Lepisosteus oculatus: one gene and its partners. The protein of the gene in region 2 interacts with the protein of the main gene of each other region in a biochemical or structural test. Links are inferred from orthologs where the notes say so. Each region holds a gene or a part of one and is shown on either strand. Other genes may lie near its edges.

Evidence for each region.
Region 1: the proteins of topbp1 (region 2) and ticrr form a complex in vitro, tested with the Homo sapiens proteins (2 studies listed by BioGRID). The link is inferred for Lepisosteus oculatus from reciprocal best matches to the Homo sapiens genes TOPBP1 and TICRR.
Region 3: the proteins of topbp1 (region 2) and atrip form a complex in vitro, tested with the Homo sapiens proteins (2 studies listed by BioGRID). The link is inferred for Lepisosteus oculatus from reciprocal best matches to the Homo sapiens genes TOPBP1 and ATRIP.

What each region holds. Positions count from the first base shown.
Region 1 is NC_090700.1:60,756,494-60,763,602, reverse strand, and holds the start of ticrr (treslin), read left to right. Parts: upstream 1-4,100; 5' UTR 4,101-4,531; coding exon 4,532-5,230; intron 5,231-5,618; coding exon 5,619-5,901; intron 5,902-6,333; coding exon 6,334-6,572; intron 6,573-6,979; coding exon 6,980-7,109.
Region 2 is NC_090701.1:16,016,970-16,024,186, forward strand, and holds the start of topbp1 (DNA topoisomerase 2-binding protein 1), read right to left. Parts: upstream 3,012-7,217; 5' UTR 2,681-3,011; intron 862-2,680; 5' UTR 846-861; coding exon 759-845; intron 80-758; coding exon 1-79. Other genes in the region: dnaJ homolog subfamily C member 13, read right to left, coding at 6,065-6,162. UniProt on the Homo sapiens protein: Scaffold protein that acts as a key protein-protein adapter in DNA replication and DNA repair. Composed of multiple BRCT domains, which specifically recognize and bind phosphorylated proteins, bringing proteins together into functional combinations.
Region 3 is NC_090699.1:61,370,095-61,377,812, forward strand, and holds the start of atrip (ATR-interacting protein), read right to left. Parts: upstream 3,010-7,718; 5' UTR 2,883-3,009; intron 2,283-2,882; 5' UTR 2,267-2,282; coding exon 1,858-2,266; intron 1,596-1,857; coding exon 1,516-1,595; intron 720-1,515; coding exon 549-719; intron 1-548. Other genes in the region: protein BTG1, read left to right, coding at 4,596-4,713, 5,129-5,478. UniProt on the Homo sapiens protein: Required for checkpoint signaling after DNA damage. Required for ATR expression, possibly by stabilizing the protein.

The sequences.
Region 1 (7,109 bases), on a different chromosome or scaffold from region 2:
TGAAGCCGGGAAGGAGGCGATGGACGCGACATGCAACCCGACGCACGGCTCCGGGAGCTCCGGTTTCTTGGCCCCTTACCGGGACCGATACACATTACGTAGCGGCACTCCACATGCACCTCCCGGGTCTCCTAAAATAGCGAAACTTTCTCGTGCCTTGCCCCCCTGATAAGTCTCTTTTTAGCTCCTCCTCGTCTGCATCTTACAACGCGTAAAATTGCCTCTCCTCGAAAGCGCCGGTCACATTTTAAACATCTATCCTACTTTACGTGTTCAAGGAATTTCTTATGCCACAGGTAAAAAAAAAAAAACAAAAAAGGCAAAACGGGAAAAAAAACTCTACCCCCCCTGCCCCCCTTTCCGCGCAAGACACGACCTGGGCGACAAGCGGCCCACAAACCTCAGGAAACACGTCACAGCGAGGGAGAACACGGGCGTGGAACAAAACAAGCTCGGGCACGCCTTCTTCCCAGCCACGGGCCTCCTCGCCTTGGTGTCTGAGGATCTAGTGCCACCTAAGGGGCTGCGGCAGAACTGCAGCCCGCTCCTGCTTTCTCACTTCCCAGATCGATCGGGGGGGCTTGTCGGCGCGGCCTGCTCCTTCTGTGCTGCCGGAGAGGCTGAGCCGATCGATTATCTCGTCCATGCGTGAAGGGGGCTCGGGGAATCGGCTTTAACTACATAGCTGCAGGGCAGTTGGCTCTAGAATATTTTCACAACAGGGTTGTTGATACTGGACGAATTGCCGATCTCAGTCAGAAATGTGGAATTTACAACTTACTCCAAATGCATCACGCTCTGAAGCAGTTTGAGACCTCACATTTTTGTACTCTCTCTCCTCATCTGTTTGCTGTTCAAGACTAAAAAGGTTTAGTTCCTCTAATCTGATACTGCTTTAAAGCCAGTAAATTAAACTCATTGCTTCTTCTTTGAACTGATTCCACAGAAACGATATCCTCCTTGCAATGGGGCAACCAAAACTGTACTGTATGTAGTATTCTAAAATGTAGTCATACTGCCATTGTCTAATTTGAACAACTTTTCTAAAGTTGACCTCAAAACCAAGCCCAACACTTTATTGGAGCTTTTTCTCTTGCTTTCACAGGCTGTCTGGATGTGGACACGGAGGTGTCAGCGTAAATGCCGAAACTGTTTTCATTAAAGTCGCTTATACAAATGAGAGCAGGCCTTTTTTCGCCATGTTCATTTAAGTTTGTTGTACATCATGTAACTAGTACTGGTACATCATGCTGGTCAGTGCGATACAACCCCTCTAGAAGAGCCAGTTGAACCTCAGCATACAAGGAAGGAGGAGCACACAGAGAAAACCCCCACAAATACAGGGAGAACATGCAAACTCCAGTCCAGGGCTTCAGAGCTTCAATGCCGGAGAACTTAGTACCCTGTAGTTGCTTTTACCTGGAGGTAATATTTTGCAGTGGTCTACATTAGGTTTGACTTCTCTACAGGTTCCAACTGAATGACCTCATCATTGGCTTAATTGAACTAATTTATCAGTTTCGCACAGCACTAAGGGGGGTGCTTTAAAGAGAAATAGGAAATCAGAAGACACACCTCCCTGTCCTATGGTGTAAATGTAATGTGGCATTCAATGTCATGACCAAATCTGCTGGAAGGCAGGCCTGAGTTTTGCATCAATCATCTTTATTCTGCCTTTTTTCAGCGATATGGAAATGACGCTATCAATCTTCCTGCTCTCGCTTTTCTCTGCCCTGCTCCCCGGTAACCGTTACAAGAACATTAAGGCATGTACCTCCAGATTGAGAGAGTTTCTTCCCGCAAACGGTCAGATTATTGAATTCTGCGTCTACTACCGTCTCAGACTGATGTTTTTTTTTCACATTACTCGTTGAAGAAAAAAAATGAGTTTCAAGTTGAGTGTTATTATTTGTTGTTAATTTGTCTCTAAGTTGATATTTCCTTGATATCTTTGTATGGAGCATACATGCAAATAAGCAATTAATCGCACTTGAGCGTGTGACAAGTAAACTGAGCTCTGACCTTTTGTGCAGACAGCACTTTAATTGCAATATCGATCCTTGTAGATCAGACACGAAGGATCTGGCTGTAGTAAAACTCTGGAACTGAACATATTGGAGAGAGCCGAAAGTTGCGTATCCCAGCCGTAACGGGACACGAAATCCTGTAGTCACTGCTTCTGCACAATTCGTGCAGACACATATTCATCCGGCTTACAGGATTTCATTATAGACTAGTCAATTATTGAAAAGTACTGCATTAGCTGTGTGCACGGCCATCTTGTTTATTTTGCTTCCGAGCACGAAAACCTCAGTACGGTCTTGCATGTTTATTCCAGAGAAGGATTCCTTAAAGTTCACCTCTTCTTGTTAACTCCTACTTCTACGGTGTTACGTATGCACCGATAACAAATACCTTCTTACTCAAATTAGAATCACTAAAAGGGAAAGTAATAGTTTCACCGCTCCGATAAAGCTTACATTTTGGACTACCGTAAATTACAAGTGAAAGATTATTCACTGTAATATATTATAGAACAGTTTACACAGATACGACACCTGAAGAAGGCTCCACGGCCGAAACGTTGTGTTTTTTCTCTCTTCTTTTTTTCAGCATGGAATATACCTATTACTTGTTACGATAGTATAACAACCTACTTCTTTTAACAACTCTAGGTATATACGACGTTCCTACTGTATATACCTTCATGAACACAGTACTTTAAAAGTGAAGTGCAACAATGTTTCATGATTTAAGCAGCTGGTTGAGCCGAGCACCTTAAAACGAATCGTATTACCTTCTCAGGAAATATATTTGAACCCAGTGCCATTTAAAAAAGTAATGACGTAAATAGCTCAGCATTACACATGAATTTAAAATGCTTGACAAAACAGGCATGTTTAAACGACATACTTGCCTTTACAGTGTTGGTGTCACAGTGTCCATGTTTTCAAAATAAAAAGAAAATTCGCAGGAAACGAAAAAGTAATGACCAGCGAAACGACGTCTCAAAGTAGAACGGGAATTACCGTTCCAGATAAAGATTTAATTCCACCTGAGGCAATCGTGGGTTGAACACTAATCACATTCAGGTGGGTATAGATCAAAGTGCACATACATTCACACAGGATGGTGTTTGCATGTTTTTTTTAACAAAGCCTTTTATCTTGCAGATGAATAAAGTGATACCTCCTTTCTGGTTTTTAAGAAGACCTTTATTGGTAAACATAATGCCAAAATAAAATTACAGTTTCGAAGTTATTTTTAAAAAATATTTAAAATATAAGATTCAAATTAAACAAATTTCTGTGTTGTCTGTGCTAAGCTGCTGTTGCACTGCAATTTCCCTCACGGGATCAATAAAGTATCTATCTAAAAAAAATATTCTAATTAGAATTATATATACAATATCAATAATTACAATCGCCATTTCCCTATAAATGATACATTGTCAGTCTTTGCCCACAATGTGCTTGAATCCGAAACGTTGTCCAAAGGATCGTCGTATTACAAAAACAGCAATATGACAAAAGTATTATTTCTTACTTTCCATTTTTATTAATAAAGCCTACGAAACTTTTATACTGCATTAGCGACATTTCAATAAAGATGACAATTTATGTAATTTGGGCAATGCTAATAAATCACGTTTCGGGTAAAGTATTAAATCACCCCCTTTTCGAAAAGCATACATATTTGATTCCGTGAGCATTAATTACGGTGTCAAACACAACACTTATTAACATTTTATTTTCACACTTCATCGAAAGCATGACGTCTCATCCCCCAGCAATCTCTTTAAAATTTTAAACTTCAGAAATGTGTGCCAGTGGGTGGAATTTCATGCCGTTCTGCACAATTCCGCCAATCAGCAACCGAGATAGTGACACTCTCTACGGTACACCAATCACAGCCCTTTATTCTGGACTTCGTCATATCAGAGACGGTCTATGGGCCATTTAGTTGTGTTAAGCCCGCCTTCTGTCGATTGTGGTCCAATGAGAAAGATGAATTTTCAGATTGTGGCCTATGGGATTAGAGTGGGCGGGCGGTTGAGTCCGGAGCGCCAAGAGTTTGAGTTGAGTAACCATAGGGCAAAGATGGCGACTATGGGTGAAAGTGTTATATTTTTTTCTTTTTGTATTGAAGGATAATCTGAGTTTTTGGTGTGCGAGAAGGTATTTTAGAGAGATTACGGATTGCAAAAATAGGGTAGGGCGAATTTGAGTTACCGCGTTGTGTGTAAGATAGTATTTTGACACCAGCCTGGTTTAAATGTTATCACTTGCTTGGCATTCAGCTCCTTGCATACGTGTTATGGTTACGTTTATAGATTTTGTAAATCTTTTGATAGTAACTGAACCAATTGGCTGAAAAAAAAACATGTATGTCATGCCAGACCTCAGCAGTGATCGACTAGCGGGCGAAAGACGTTGTGCGTTGTTATGTAGGTGATAAAAATTGAATCTACCAGGCGGTACAGATCCTTGTTTGTCACTTCTTTACGAAACGAGAAAAGCAATCGGGAGTCATGGTTTCCTTTAATTTGGTATTCGTGATTGACATTTCCGATCGGGGAAATAATAGGTCTGGCGATGGTGGCGTTCATATCAGACCGCATCTTCTGAAACAGGGCGTGCTGAAAATCCTCCTCTATTTCGGCTGCAGATTCGGTTTTGAGAAAGTCCGATGGGGCTATAAATTTTACGACGTTCACGGAGGCCGATGTATCGTATCCAGGGCTTCCGACTTCAAAGAACTTCTGGACAAGACTTTCGAGGATTTTGAAGGGGAATTTCAGGAGAAACTCGAGGAGAAAAGGGTTAGAAATACGGCAGCGGCCCCGGGTAACTCGCTCATAAACCCGGTCCGATCTGTCCACACAGTATTGAAAGAGACTTTACTGGATTTCCAGTGGGACAGACCAGATATTACCTCCCCGACCAAGATAGCGTTGCGTCCCAGAAGACGGCTCCGGGCTGAAAGTAAAATGACCCCACACCTCACTTTGGCAGAGGAGGACCTGTCGGGGAAGAGTCAAAATATTTTGTTCCTCGTCTCCGCCTGTCCGCGCTCCCGGGGGGAGGTGGAAGAGTTCCTGACGCGCCCGGGGGCCTGCGGAGAGCCTCGCAAAGAGCTGGCAGAGCGCATCCTGCCCAGGGCTCTCCAGGAGATGGTCGCCCAGAATAAAGTCGTCCTTCACTGGGTGGATGCAACAGTCAACTCCCATGTAAGTCGCTTTAATTTCCAAGAGTTGTCAAACTACCCGTTTACTTAGCGAAACCGCTCTTCAATGTCACCTTTTGGTCGGATTGATTCTATAATATAATTCTAATGTTCTTAACTGGGTGGAATTCAGCCTTTTGAGAGAGAGGAGTTTATCTGCCACCCGTACATGTGCATTGGGATTCTCCTTCGCGCTGTTCTCTTGTGGTGTGTACAGTGCAATAGACCACACCACACCGTAGGCACATTACATAATGATATAGTAAAGGATCAATAATGACCGTCGCACAATAGTACAGGTCAGTGAACACACACGGGACAGCAGATCTGTGACAGCCATTGAGACGTGCCGAGTGCAGGTGGGAGTCAGATGCTCCTCTGTGTACTTGCAGGTGTGCAGGCCTGCCGACCACACTGGCTGCGAGTTGGTGTCGGAGGTGCTGAGACAGGTCGGCGGGAGCGTCCTGCCCTTGGATGCTCTGCTGTGGCTGTCGGAGCCTGGGAAGAGCGGCCTCGGAGGACCGGCACAGAGCTGGGATCACGAGTGGCCTCTCGCCCGCGGAGGAAGAGAAGCCGTCTTCCCTCTGGACTCCAGCCTCAGCTGCCTTCTGTCTTCAGAGCAGCTATACCGGGTTGCCTTTCCCAGCCAGACTGGAGTGCTGCAGTGGGGAGCAGGTACTGAGCCTCCGACTCTTTAATCAGCTTAAATAACAAGTAACTCATGCTAGGTGAGAGTCTGACACCCAAGCAGAGGGAAAGATGGAGATCAATGTAAGGTAAATGAGAACTGCATCCTCGTATGACTGCTGTACATATTTTTCTTTGGGGTTTTGCTACTCCAAGGTGATCGTGATTTTATTGAGTCTTTTTGGTTTAGGAATGGATGTAAAGTTCCTGTTACTTTGATGTTACCCATCAGAGACATTTATTTTTTCCCCACTCTGGTCTAAGCTGTGCTTCACATGTCTTGCAACTTGCAACTTATAAAACCCGCAATGGCTTGAACTGCTGTGCATTGGGAGCATTTCTGCTCTGCATCTTGCAGTTGACAGTGAATGCCAGAGCTATGCATCCTCATTTCATGTGTGTTTTGCATGCAATGTACAGGAAAGGAGAGCAAGTCCTGTGCTGTCTCCCTGGAGCCCATGTCCCTCAGGCAGAGGGTGCTGCCCAGCTCGGTGAACATCACGCTTCACGGAGTTCTGTCGGAGTGGAGCGCTCCGGCCCTGGGGGGGCTGAGCTTGGAGGGCTGGGTGTTGCACGACTCCCGGGACCCTGCAGAGACGGCTGCCGAGTCTCTGTTCCTCCAGCTTCTGAACGAACTTTCTTCACAGGCTCTTCACATGGTGAGCGCTCGCTTGGGGAATTATTACACCGCAAAGAGTAAACGTTCCCCAAATATCATGCCTGGAAAAAAGCATGTGTGTGTCGATATCTGTTGTGGGGGGAACAAAACTCAAAATATATTCAGGTAGTTAACGTGAGAAGGTGTCATGGTCTCCTGAGTAAATGCATTTTCACGTCTTTCAAGTATGTTTGTTGCACAACATGTTTTTGTTATTTGGCTTGTTTTCTTACAAGGCACCAGCATGTGAAAGATTTTTTTGATGTTGTTTTTGTTGTGCATGTTTGGCAGTGAATCCCCAGCTGTTACCTTACTTTATTAAGCACATGTTCCTTGCTGTATAAGGACTCAGATGTTAAGTTCCGCCGTCATGTTGTAGAGGCACTGCTTGATCCTTGTCTATCCCAGTTTGCGGAGGTAGAAGGGAGTGACCAGGGCCCCCCCTGCACGGCAGTGTTGTCCCCTCTCTCGGCCTCCACGGGTCTGCTCACCGTCCTCCAGCCTCAGCTGGCTTCAGCCCAAGGCCTTGTGCTCCAGG
Region 2 (7,217 bases):
TGTCATTGTGTTTTAAAAGGAGGGCTTCCTTCTCATCTATATTTTGGAGGTATTTTTCCGATTGCAGCTCTCTGATTGCCTGGAAGACAAAAAATGATTTGTGATGAATTTAGAAACGATGAAAACCAGAATACAGTAATGTGTGGGATACAGATTCCATTAGCAACATCTCCTAAGGAAACAGTAAGACGGAATTAAAATTAGACTAATAAGCTTTTGACAATAATAAATTCCATTCCACTACAATTTCCTCCATCCCAAAAGGATCTCAGAACACTTTAGATTTAGAAGTGGTTCCAGTTGATCCACAACTAATAAGCAGTATATAAATTTAGGTCATGTGGCTGGTTATGTCATTTACGCATATTAAAAACAGCAATGCTATAAGTGATCCATTAGTGGGACATATAAATTACTTAGGAACACGTTTAGTTTATCCCATGCTGAAAAGAGAAGAAATTAAGCAACAGTTCAGCTATGGGACCTTCTTCAGGTGTGTGTATATAAATTACTTTTATACTCCAAATCCTTTGCCTGAAAAGCAAACTGCTATCCTATTACCTTGGCCATTCTGTTTTAACCCTAAGGCTACCCAACCACAGTCAAGCTGACATCATATTAGCGGGCACAAGTCATTAGAACCAAACCTTCTGGAAAAGCCTGGCTTGTCTGTTAGAACCTTGAGTCTATTGTGTATTCACAGCTGTCAGACACAAAGTCAAACAACAGTCCAGGCAGCAGTCAAAGGAACTCCTTACCTCAAAGGCTTTCACGGCACGCTCTGATCTTTCTTCGCTGGTCTTCACAAACTTCACGAGGAATACTCCTTTATCTTCCGTGGACATCCTATATTCAATGTTTCTAAACAAACAGAAATGACAGGAGTTCAAGTAGGTAGCAGCGTCGGCAGGTGTAGGCTGCAAAGGAAAAGGGAACGGGTTTATTCCACGCTGAAATGAAGAGAAGGGAAACACAACGTTTCGGCTGTGGAGCCTTCTTCAGGTGTGAGAAAGACAGGGCAGACGGCAAAGATTAAACAGCACAGGAGAACAAAAGCTGGGAGGAGGGAGAGGCAGAGAGGCCACTCAGGTGGTGCAAAGTGAAGAGGGTTGAAGTCGAAACCTGTATGAGAATAGAGAAGACTACGTGATAATAAGTCTGCCATTAAGAGAAGGGGACCTAGTTTTCAGGAGAAACGAAACGCATCCTGAAACTAGGTTCACACCTTCCCCCTTCTCTCAAAGACAACTTATTTTCATGTAATCTTCTCTATTCTCATACAGGTTTCGACTTCACACATTCCTTCACCCCTCTCCGATATGCATTTCCTGAGTGGCCTCTCTATCTCGCCCCTCTCCCAGCTTTTGTTCTCCTGTGCTATTTAATCTTTGCTGCCTGCCCTGTCTTTCTCACACCTGAAGAAGGCTCCACAGCCGAAACGTTGCGTTTCCTTTCTTTCCTTTTCAGCATGGAATAAACCCGTTACCTGTTCCTTCGCAAACAAAAACAATCACCCTGCAACTCACAACTGGCAACCCACTGAAGCTAAGCAGGTGTGAGCCTGGTCAGTACCTGGATGGGAAACCTACTGGGAAAAACCAAGGTTGCTGCTGGAAGAGGTGTTAGTGGGGCCAGCAGGGGGCGCTCACCCTGCGGTCCATGTGGGTCCTAATGCCCCAGTATGGTGACGGGGACACTATACTGTAAACAGGCGCCGTCCTTCGGATGAGACGTAAAATCGAGGTCCTGACTCTCTGTGGTTATTAAAAATCCCAGGGCTTTTCTCGAAAAGAGTAAGGGTGTAACCCCGGCATCCTGGTCAAATTTCCCATTGGCCCTTACCAATCATGGTCTCCTTATAATCCCCATCTATGAATTGGCTACATTACTCTGCTCTTCTCCCCACTGATAGCTGATGTGTGGTGAGCGTTCTGGCGCACTATGGCTGCCGTGGATGATGCACATCGGTGGTGGTGGAGGGGATCCCCATTACCTGTAAAGCGCTTTGAGTGGAGTGTCCAGAGTGGAGTTTTGAGTGGAGTGTCAAGTGTAAGCAATTATTATTATTAAAAACGATCATATCGCAAGACTGAAACTCCTGCCGCATAAGGTACATCATTGTTTTTCCTGCACTCAGTTACATTAAAAATAGGGTCAGCATAACTGCACCTTGATGTTACAGTTTGAGAACATTTTCAGAACAGTTAACACACAAGGCAATGTAGGGGTAATAATTGTAATATTATGGAACTGAATACGTCTAAAACTGATTGCTCTTGTTTCGTCTTTGTTCTAATGAATAAGAGCCCACCAGTCATCGGACTCTCATCTTCTCTTGAAGAACAGTTAATTAAATACAGGTGTAACAATAATAAAATGTAATAGAGAATAATCCACAACAAATAAGGTCCAACGGCATTTCAAAACACCAAAATAAGAAACCAACCAAAATTCACTGTGGGAAAAGGAACGGAACATAACAATACGATCACATGACGGAACTACAGCTGAGCAAAGCCACGATTTACTGACAACTTGCGGTACTTGCTCAATGCGATCAATGTTCATCAATTTCAAAGCGGACAAGCTCAAACAGTAACTATCAACCCGTCTATTTTTCAAACAGCTGTACACGTGAAGTCAGCGATGTGCGGAAATAATTCAGTAATGCTGAACTTACCACGTCCCGGTTCAACACACCGTGTCCACAAGCAAGTGCATAAAATAAACCGGGAGTTACAATACAAGATCCTGCGAGCTCGTATTTCAGCGTTTCGCGTTTTTAGTCCGGGTTGACAATCCAGTGTTCGGCTAGTATCGCCGTCTTGAGTTTCACACTCAACAACGAAGAGAAAAGAAAAAAGGGAGCGTCTTCTCAAAACAAGTCATTCGTTGAGATAGATACATCATAACAATTTCCCTAAAGAAAGAACACAGGGTATTTTCGATTTGCCACTGATTGGCGCCAAACCTCCACCTCCTTGTCCGGCGCCGGACTTCCTGCCCAGAACCGGTATCTCGCGTCGCTCTGTCTGACGTCATGCCCAGCTGGAGGAGAAGCTGCTCCCTCCAAACAGTAGCACGTGAGATTGTCTTTCCTTTCGCAGTGGGTGTGCAATAGCAGGTATTGCATTGGATTTGGCGACTCGCAATGCTGTTTTAATTGATTATACTTGTTTATAAGCAACATGGACTTAAGTTTTACGTAGTGCAAATTAGAGGATACCTATCTAGAAGAGGTTCTTTACAGGGTTTTCTGACACAAATAATTCGATTGCAATAGTAAACCTGTTTTACTGGTGTTTGAATAGTGTTTTATTACTCAGATTAGCGTGTTTAGCAAACGAACTCTTATATCTACAGAACCTTGTTCAAAACAGTGCAGTTGATTTAAAAAAGCACATCAATAGAGATGTTTTCAGCTTTAAATTTAACGTCGTACAAATGAGAGGATTACTATTGAGAAGATTTTCTTTAAGCAGGATTTTCCGACAAAAAACATATACGACTGCAATAGTAAAGCGTTTTACTGGTATTTGAATAGTGTTTTATACCTCAGATAAACATAAGTAGCTAAAGAGCTGTTTCTATCTACAGTAACTATGCAAAACTACGCAGTTTATTTGAAAAGGAGCGGAATAGAGGGACGTTTTCAGTCCAACAGGAACAGTGACAAGGATCCCAGTTCCACACGCTACTGTCAGCTGCAGTAGAGTCACTGACGTGAGGCCAGCGCTGCTAGCAAAGAGCAAAATTAACCAAATCACAACAAAGCCACACAACACTACCCCACGCACTGGTTCACACTTGAACTGGAATGCTACTGGGTGCAAAGAGATACTGTAAATGTTGACCTGTTTAAAACGACATCGTTGACAAAAAGCTGAGCAAAACGGGAACAAACGGGTTTGCTGCTAGAAAAATTATTTTAGTATTTGTGGACAAGTATTTTGAATTGTTATATATATATATGTACAGTAGAAAGAGACGTTTAACAGAAGTAATGTTTAAGGTGTATAAAAGGACATATGGACAAGAGATTGGGGAGCCTTAAGCCAAGAAATCAAGTTTTTATTTTTGTAATGCAAAAGTATTAAAATTGTAGTGATGTAAATTATTTGTTTATATGTTAATAATATGTTTATAAGTTACATATGGTACCAAACTGTCTACCAAACAAAGCCATCAGGAAGGGAACAGTAGATAATAAATGAAATCCCAGCTTGCTCTCCATGAGACACACAGACTGGGAGAGAGGCTTGGGGTCAGAGTGCAGGGTCAGCCATTTATATGGCGCCCCTGGAGCAGTTGGGGTTAAGGGCCTTGCTCAGGGGCCCAACGGAGTAGGATTCCTCTGCTGGCCTCGGATACGAACCAGCAACCTTCCAGCCACTGGCGCAGATCCTTAGCCACAGAGTCACCGCTCCGCTATATTTGACGTGCATGAATTTCTGCAACATGTAATCTTTATAAAAAGCACGTGTCCTGGATTTGATTTTGAATCAATCAGGGTTCCTGCCATGTAGAGTTGGAATACGTTCTCTGTGTTCATGAGATATTGTGCTCCAGAGAAGCATCTATAAATTGAATCTACATTGTCCCTGTGTGCTTGTGTACGTGTTCTCAGTGACTGGTGTCTCATCCAGAATGTAGGCCACACTTCCTTTCTTTCCTTCTGGGATAGAATCCTGGTTTGCTGTGACCCTTACTAGGAAAAAGCAGCTTTCACATAACAGTTATAATTTGCAAACATCAAAAACATAACAAATGTATTCATAAGAAATTATAAAAAAGTGATCCTAAGGTCATGTATTGTTTGCTAACATTTACTTTACTTAACATTACTTTACTCACCATCATCTATTAATGCAAAACGATCATATCTGACCTTTTTCTATAATGCATAAAATTGCTTTAAGTGTTATACAGTGTAATAGGATACCTGGAGCTTTATTTTTGCATATGGGTGATCCTTTAATAAGTGTCTCTGTTACAAGACAATCACTGATTAAAAGGTAACATGTTCTTGTGAAAAAACTGGCTATTCAAATGTCATTGTCTCTTGAATGATGATCACAGTGAAATTAAGTTAGTTGGCTAACTTAAAGACTCCTTGAGAAGAATTCAGGCTAGTGGCTGAAAACACTGAAGCGTAATAAATGCAGGCCAAATGTTAAGACACAGAACACGATAATGTGTATTCCCTTTGTTTATTCTTAAAATTTTATGTACAGGAGTGGCTGATTTTTTTTCTTCTTAATGTACATTCAATATAGAAAGTTTATATACGGCATATTATATAGAACATTTCACAAACGCACTAGTCTTTTACATAATATTTTAAATCCGAGTCAATATTATTGTTCCTCCTCTTTTTTGCAGAAGCTCATATAAGTTTGTAAAGGCAGTTATACTGTGAGTAGAAATATCTAGTGCTTTTTGTACTCCGGGGGGAAAAAAATATGAAAGAAGGTTTGGGAAGAGGTACAGCAGAAGCAGAGAAGTGCAGGACTTGATCAAATGAACAGTCAATATTACAACTAGATTTCAGAGACAGTGCTGCACACAGCGAGATCCACAACTGATGGTGGAGGTGGTGGACAGGTTTTTTGTTTCTAGAGCAGTACAAGTAGACTGTAATAAAACACCACAGTCGAGTTTTCTTTTTATCTTTAGCACTGTAAAACAACATTATAAAAATTAGGAAAACAATTTATAAATCAGATTCACAGTCTTGTAAACCGATAACACGTTAAGTAGGGCAAGACAAATGCTTGCCTCTGCTTGACACATCTTGTTTGGCGTTTTCTTCAAGGGGCAGGGGGGCTGTGTATCAAAACTGACAAGGTCGAGAGGACAGGAATGACTTCCTTGATCTTTTTGTTTTCTCTCCTTTCTCCCAAATAAAAAATATATTCGTAGAAAAGTAAATTATGCTTGTGTCACTGTGACCAAAAAAAAAAACAAAAAAAGGCAACAACGCTTTGAACAGAATCCTATGGACTGGGGAAGTCTCCACTTCATGTTCCACAGGTCGCTGTCAAGCTCGAAAGACTGAAGCCTTTCAGCCCAAGTCTCCAACGTCATTGTCAACAGGGGGGGGCACACTAGATAGGACTGTGGATCCTGTCCCAGCGGTAAGATAGCCAGCAACTCCGGGACCTGCAGTTGAACATAAAAAAAAAGAAATGAATAAAGTCAAGTTTTCAAATATCACAGAGGTGTTGCAAACAATTATAAAAATGTATTTAAAAAATCCCCCGACACTCTTTAAGAGGCTGGGGTGGTGGTGAAAAACTGTCTCCATCTACAGTTACTCCTAAAGCAGACATTAAAAGATTACAAAGCATTTTGCATAGTTTTTTTTCCACCCATTTGTGAAATGTTTTTAATGGTTCCACTCTGTTAAAAAGCATGCACAGCTGTGGACATATTTCCGCTCTGCTCTGTGACCTTCAACAAAAACAAAGTTTCTATTTGCTAAGCGCAGACTCAGTGTCGGCAAGATCTTCGCTGGTGAATTTTTCAAGTTCAGGTGGAGTGTTCTTTTAAATGGCAAAAGGAGGCTGGAAAGTAAAATTTTATGACCTTTTCAGCAAGTATGTCTAAGAATAAAGGAAAGCGAGCTGGATATCTACTGCATGTTCCCTCATAATGTATTAAGATGAAGATGATATTCATCGGACGTATATTGTGACACAATACGCAAAGAGAAAGGCAACAGTGAAACAGCATGTGATAAAGGAAAACACCAGAACACACTGTGTTCTACCTGCTTCAGAGCTAGAGAGAAGTAAGCAAGAAGCCCTGGGAGAAGAGGTCTAGAGCCCACTTCTGAGGTGATGAGGGCTACTACCACTCAGAAGGGAAGGTGCGGAGACGCCTGAAGAGAAAAGGAAAAAGGAAGGAATGCCAGAGGCGAAGGAAGAGGAGAAGCAGTGTCCAACTAAGAGGGAAAGGGGCAACCGGCACAAATTCCAGAATTAGTAGCACGGCTTCAGAAAATATTTGATTTCTGTCCAAAATATGAATAGTTGAACGTGATCTACTTCATCTAGGTGCATACGGTACATCTCCTGCCACAGTTTCCGTAAGTTTCTTATACGGTTGAAGCAGTTCAGGTGGGGAGCTGCGTCAACATACGCAGGCTGCAAAGGAACAAGTAACAGGTTTATTCCATGCTGAAAAGAAGAAAGAAAACACACCATTTCGGCTGT
Region 3 (7,718 bases), on a different chromosome or scaffold from region 2:
TGCCTGCAGAGGCCCGCCCACGGTCAATTAGCGAAAGGAGGAAGATTCCAATTAGTAATCTAATTAATCTCAATTAATGAGACTGAGAGGAATTCATCTCAACACGTAGTCTGCCTGAGCACTTTTACACTTTGAGCCACATGGCAACCCTACCCTTTGAGCATTTTAGCTTTAAAAGAGCCAACAGTGTCCAAGAATAACCAGCTGAGACTTAGAAAACAGACAATATGTGGAAAGTGAACTGGCAACGTGCAACTCAACACTACATAAAAATGGCAGAGAACCTGCCTTTCAGACCCCACTTTGCTCCAGTCTCACAGTGATTCTAACCAACATGATTGCAGAAGAAGAAGAAGAATTCCTTACACTTGTACAGTGTTTTTCTGGACACTCCACTCAAAGCACTTTACAGGTAATGAGTAATCCCACTATCACCACCAATGTGCAGCCCCCACCCGGATGACGTGATGGCACCCATAGTGCGCCAGTATGCTCCCCACATACCAGTTCTCAGTGGGGAGAACAGATGCAAAATGTATAGAGCTGACCTTCTTTGCCAGCTCCTTCTCCTTTTCACTCTGGATGTTGGCTCTTTCTTTCTCCAAGAGGAGCTGGGCTTTTCTCTGCTTGTCCCGCTCTTGCTCTGTGTGCTGCAGAGAGTCCCGCAGCACTCGGATCTCCCCGTTCTTCATCAGCAGCTGAGACTCCGCTTCCTTCAGCTGACAGGGAGGGGAGGGAGAAAGAAAAGAGATATCGCTCGTTAGACCCTTTTCCGAGTTAACCACACGACTTTGGTAAGTCAAGCTGAGATTTCTTTATTCCAATAAAGAAAGGAGGACAGACAGACTTAACAGGTTAACCTTGTGTCTCACTCACTTTCGTAAGGACAGCAACAGGCTTTTATTCTTGAAGATGAGCAAAATTTTCAGACACAAACATACATTTCTGATTGGACAGTATCAATTTCTTACCATATCAGGTGTAAACAAGGTCAGAAAGTCAAGCCGTTAGGTCAGCCTCAAGCTGACCAATTAACCAAGCAATTAACCAAGATCCCTAATTAACTAAGACCCCTGCAGCTTTTCACGTTGCTAAAAAGCATAAGATACGTGAGTTACAGCTCCAATCAAAGACTTTGAAGAAAACCCAGCAAGCTGGGAATGCACAAAAAAACCAAATAGTTCTTGCGGGCTTTATTGTTAACTCATGACCGGCATACGTTCATTCAACTCAGACATTTTTAATGAGTAGGAAATGTCTGCTCAATATGGACTTCAACAGCCAAACTGACCAAAATTCTCCATGACACTAGACAGAATCCCTATCCCAACTCAAGGAGTGGGTAACGATGTCTAATAGAATACTTGAAGTAACTATGGTGTTTCATAGTACTGAAATTTGAGATTTTTTAAAAAATTGAGCATAAAGTGACAATACTGTCACAGTTGTACATAAGAAGAACCTTTAAGCCATATTCCAATTTTTCAAAAAACATTTAATTTAGTGCAAGCTCACCTTTTTCTTAAGCTCTTCATGTTGAGCTTCAAATGACTCGTAGAATGCTTCTCTGCCTCTCCTGAATTGTTCTCCATTTCCTGTCAGGAAATCCCAAACCCACAGTCTTTTTAATCATGAAATGAGCGAGCAGCAGGAGTGGTTCCTTTGCAAAGTCACTGGTTAACACTTACTAAATGAAACAGGGGAGTTAATGTAACAATTGTATACATTGCACAACAAATACTTTTGTTCTACTAGAAAAGCTGCTGATAGTTTCCACTCCCCTGCATTACAATTAATTTTATACAAGATAACATGTATGCACTCTAATGTGTTATGAACAACATTTTAAAAGCATACCGCAGGTTTCCTTGGTTGTGGATCTGTCAGAGGTGCCCAACTTGCTCAGCCCACCATCGCTGCCCACATGATAACTGTTGCCAATAGCAAAGGTAGTTCTGACCTCTGCTGTTGGCCTGCTTTTCGTGGTTTGTTCAGGTTTGTTCGCTTCCACAGGCTCAGTAAATGCCTGGGATGCAATAGTATCAATCTCATCCAGATCATCTTGTGTAAAGTCATCGTCCTCTCCGAAGCAATCGGCCACGTTCTGACCTGCTCCCTTATGGCGCTTCAGAGGAGGGCACTCCATGCCATGGTCTCCGGGTGAACGTCGTCCAGTGACGGCAGAAAGCCCCGCTACCGAAGCACCCAATTTGTCTTGAGCAACACTGATATTTCTCCTGTTCGCATAAATATTGTAGTCAGACATCCTGACAATCAGTACTCTGGAAGATCAGAAAAGAATAAACAAAATATTAAAACTAAATAACAGACCTCACAATAAGTAAAGATCTTCTTCTCCGATCAGCACCAGAGCTTTTAACCCTGGTGTTTACTGTATGCCCACTGTATACAGTATGTGTACCCGGACCGTAATTTATGAATGGCGGAAAGAAGAAAAAACATATTTTCTGGTCGGGTAAGGACCGAATACCTTCGAATATCAATAAAACCGAAAGCGCTTAAGGCAAAAGCATGTTTAGAAAAAAGTTTTTAAAATTCAAAAATATTAATTTCCGTGACAAACTGGGGAGGTTACACCGAAAACCGAAAGCAAATGAGATGTTTTAAATCCTCTTTAGAAAAGAAGGATGAACACATCGGGTTTATCTTAACGTTTAACAAAATGCTTATCATTCGTAAATGGACAATTATATAAAGAAGTAAAGCTATATATTAAATATTTAATATATATTATATTAGAAAGTGGGAATGACTGAACTACTGCTCACACATTTTTAACTCAAACAAAACTTCGCTAACTTTTTGGGAGAAACAGAAAATAAAGTATCTGAAATAAAACTGAATACGTCCTGAAAACAAACCTGATATTAAATCACACAATTCCATTGCGTAGTGCCACTTCAATTATACAATTCTCATATTCAGACTGCAAAAGCAGACCCGAACTAACACATCCTCATCTCATTCTACATACTTTACAATATTGATTTCTGCACTCTAGACGTCTCAAGTACCACAGCCAATCATATCGCAGGTTCTAACAATAACTGTGAAGTAAGACGCGATTCTATTGGAGAAAAAGGCAGTTGCTGTCTACGGAAAGCGAATAGGACACATTTTGTTTCCGCCGTTAGAGCGGAAGTTATCTTCAACAAAACAGAACAGGGCATAGTAGGATAGCTACGAAGCGTATTATTGTGTTTTTATTGAACTCTTTGCAATCACACATTTTGCCCTTACAGTATGGGAGACCAGGTGTTAAATGTTCCCCTAATGTTTTCCTTCCAGTTTTAACTGACCTCGATATTTGTTCTTGAATAATTAAACGCGTTTCCTTTATGTTAAATATCAAAGAACAGTAGTCTTCTGTAGCTTTGGTATTCCAGTGTTTGTGCACTTTAGCAAAATTATTTTACCTCGGTCACTCGCATGCCAAGCTAGGAAGGATACATGCTTTATTTTCTATTTCGTTCTCCATGAAACTCCACGTGGTTTCTCCCTTTTTTTTAGAGACTCGGTTCGTAGAAAACCTTTTGTTAAAATCACCATGAATAATTACCAGGAGCTACATCAATACGCCTAGTTTGGGCAGCTTTAATAATATAGTACTCAATTTTTTTTAAAGTAGTGCTGTTGTACATACTACAAAACAATGAAAGAAATAACAAGTGAATTCCAAAAAACGGGGGCAAGTTATTAGTTTAACTGTAACATCCCTCTGCTAAAAAAAAATATATTTAAAATGTTCTCCGATTACTCTGGTATTCATTCGAAGGAGTTAGAAAGGCTGGGTATAAGGGTCAAGAAGAGGTTTATTCTATGCTGAAAGCAAAAACTAGGGGAAAAAATCCGCCGTGGAAAACGCTTTTTTTCAAGGTTACGTGTTTAGACCTAACCACTGCTTATTTGCGATAGTTGTTTGTTGCTTTCATTTGAATAACGTCTGCTCCCTGATCTTCCGTTTTATTCATTTGCTAAAACGGTTACAGGTCTCCCCGTCCTGCCAGGTCCAGCTACTTAGGGCTTGTTTGTGTACGTGCAGGAGCCGAGCTGGGCTTTGTGACGTCACCCCCCCAACCTCACAATGCAATTGGCTGCAGCGGAGCTGTGACGCGCAACAATGTTTACCAGCTGAGTAAGTGGGCAGTTTTGCTGGTAGAGGAGAGATTAACTTGGTTAGCGGGGGTGGAAGAGACTGTGTTAAATTAGAACAAAAAAAAATCGATAAGTAGGCAGTTGTTTCAGATTAAAATACATTATATTTCATCTATATACTTACACTTGACGAACGGACACGTTTAAACGGTTTTTGATCGGAGTTTTTCCCCCTTTTTTGTACAAAGGGAAAGTATTGCTTAGCGTCAGACAGGCCCAGCCTTATTGTTCAGTTTGCTTTCCGTCTTCCCAAAATAATCGCTTAAAATTCCGACTTTTTTTCGGTGGATTGATCGCTATTCGGTCACTAAAGCCGTCTCTCGCCTTGCAACAAAGCGATTTGTGTCTGTTGGGAGGTGCAAACACGGGTTGTTTTTCTGGTTTTCGACGGCTCATGAGAAAATTACCCACTCGATAAAATGAAAACTGAGATCTCCACAGCTGCGAAGTTTATCACCCGGTTGCTGAGGACAACTGGTTTCCTGTCCGAAGACCAACTCCAACGTTTTAGTCAGTCTCTGGAAGAAGCCTTGGGAGGTGAGCAAAGGTTTATAAACTCTTTTAACTTTTTTAAAAAAATATTTGAATCGTTCGGTTTTAACGCCGCCTTTTGAGGATATTTTCTCCATCGGTGTCTCCCAAGACCTGATTTATGGCTTGTCGGGACATGAAAGTCCCTTCACTAGAAAGGGTCTATGAACTCTGAATCTGGGCTACAAACGATCAGTGGCGAGGACATTAGACTAGACTTCGTTTCTCAAATACAACCATTCTCTGATATGAGCATTTCTTACTTTTGTCACAGAAAAAAAAAACGCGACCCAGAAAGTGTTAAAGGAATTCGACGCCGGTATATTTCTCTTTTTTTTAATGTACGTTGGGTGGTTTGTTTTTAAATGCTATTTTGAAAGTTCAACCGTTTCTTTCTTTCTTTCTTCTCTTGCTCCCGCAGAACATTACAAACAACACTGGTTCCCACAGGCTCCCTGCAGGGGCTCGGGCTACCGGTGCATCCGGATCAACCACAAGATGGATCCTTTGATAGGAAAAGCCGCCAGCACCATCGGACTCAACCGGGAGCAGCTCTTCACGCTGTTGCCCAGTGAACTGACACTGTGGGTCGACCCGTTCGAGGTTTCCTATCGTATAGGAGAGGATGGGTCCATCTGTGTCCTGTACGAGTCCACGCCACCCGCCATTGTGAATCCCAGTGTGGTGGACAGAAACAGCTGTAAGGAAGAACTCAGGTTCGGAAGGTCTAGCCCTTCCAAGTCGTACAATATGATGACCGTTTCAAGCTAAGCTTTACATACGAAGCTGTTTTTGTACAGTCCTGTATGTATTTTGCCGTCATTTGATAATGTAATTGTTGTTCCTCTTCTTTCTTTAGACATTAAAGTTAAGTATAACTGCCAAAACTATTTGTGTATTGTGGCCAAGGGCTATTGTACAAAATGAGCTGCATTGTAACGTTCCTGGATTGTATGATGTAAATTACATGTACAGTCATGTGGCGGTGTTTTACAGATTTATATTTTAAAACAAATCCTTGGGTATTTGTAATAAAACTCCCATATTTGAGCAGTGCTCTGGATTGGCAGCTTTTTCATTTTTTTGTGCTTTGTTACCAGTGGATGATTTAGGGCTTTAGTAGGGAAAAGGCTTCAAGGTTTTGTACAATGACACAAGGGAGCACACTAATCATGTCTTAAGCACATGTTTTTTTTTAAACATTGATTCCATCTTTTCAAGCGATTATTTTTGCACCATTCACTGTAATGGGCAGGTTTTGTATAAAAGATTAGCTAAATTAATCGGAATGCAGTTTCCTTCACAATCTTCTAATTAACCTGGCTTTTTGGCTTCCGAACAACACAGAACACAAAACTTAGAAGATCAGAAGTGGCAGTGGCTACTTGTGTAATTTCTCTTTCTACATTAGTTTCCTGCGAATAACATACCTTACACTAATAAAGATGAAAATTCATGTGGAATTAATAGAAATTGTACACACAAAATGTTTAGGGCAATTTCTTCTCATGTAAATTCTTGTCCATGCAGTACTACTGTTTTCGGTTCCACCTGGTTAAGGAAGTATTTGTGATTATGATGCAGACTGCTTCTTGGAATTACATTTCCTAAGTCTTAAATGAAATATAAAAGGTTTTGATTAAACCTGAAATGGTCTGTTCAGTTTGGAAGTACAGTAAGATGGTATTACTTTATTTGGACTCATGGGATGAGATGGTACATTTTTTACTTTGAATTCCACTGTTTTCAAGCAAGTTTCAAGCAACTTGAGATCTATATAGCCTGAAAATCTTATCAGATAGTGTGCTGCTTATATTAGTATATGACACAAGATGCCAGCTGGGAGAAACTCAAGATAATGGGATTAAGTGGTGTACGTTTTATCCTTTTCCTGAGATTTTAAAAAGAAATCAGCGGGTTTGGAGGCCTCTTAAGAAAAAAGAAGCCCCCAAAATGAATGTTTACTTTCATCCAAGATCCTTACTTTGATTTATACAAGAGCCCCTTTATATAGGCTCCTTGTTAAGAAAATTAACCAGTTCAACCTAGTTAATCCAAGAAAAAAGCATTGATTAAATTATGAACGATCATGATACTTGAAAGTGACATTTTATAATCCATCAAAGCAAAAATGTTTTAAATCAACAGGAAAAGGAACTGTTGGAGTAATAATAAACTTTATTTTATATAGTGCCTTTAAACGTGGCTTCTCAAAGCGCTTTACAGGATGACAACAACAATAAATAAGAAGAATACACAAGATAAAACACAATAACATATAGAGGAGACCGTGGATGGTGGTACTAAGAAAAGCAGAGGGGTGAAGAATGGAACCAGTTAAGTAAAGGCTTTTCTGAAGAAGAGGGTTTTGAGTCTGGTTTTGCTCAGATATATTATAACTGTTTTTATTTTTATAATTTTCTCAGAGTAAGAGTAAGACAACACAAATATCACACAATACTGGGGATTACTCCACAGCCCCACTGAGTAGTTTTAAGGGGTATAGGTCACGTCTTGTTTTATATATTTCACAAAAGAGTGTTTTTCCAGATTCACACAAACATTTGTAATTTGTACATTACATGAAATACAACTGCATTCTTTTCTATCTTCAGAAAAGGCCTGCCTGAATTACTTTTCTAACTAGAACTCAGTTGATATCTGTCTTATACAAAATGTACATAAGAAAAACTATCGTGTACACAAATGGTCTGCCACCAATGTAACCACACAATTTGGTAGTCAAAATTATGTTGTTGTTTCTTACAAAAGGAAGGAATGCATTCAATATCATAATAGGATGTCAGGTCTTAAAAACTTGCTGAACAGACTTAAAAGACTTCAACAACTGCAGATTCATTTGAATTGTGAATGAATAGCGCAAGAATAAGACGTATTTATCTGACCTGGAATATCACAGTCGTTGTTCTCATTGCATCATTTCAGAAGCTTTTTTGTATCCTATGTTTGTGAAATACAGTAGGCTATACTACCTAGAAGCAGGTACTTTG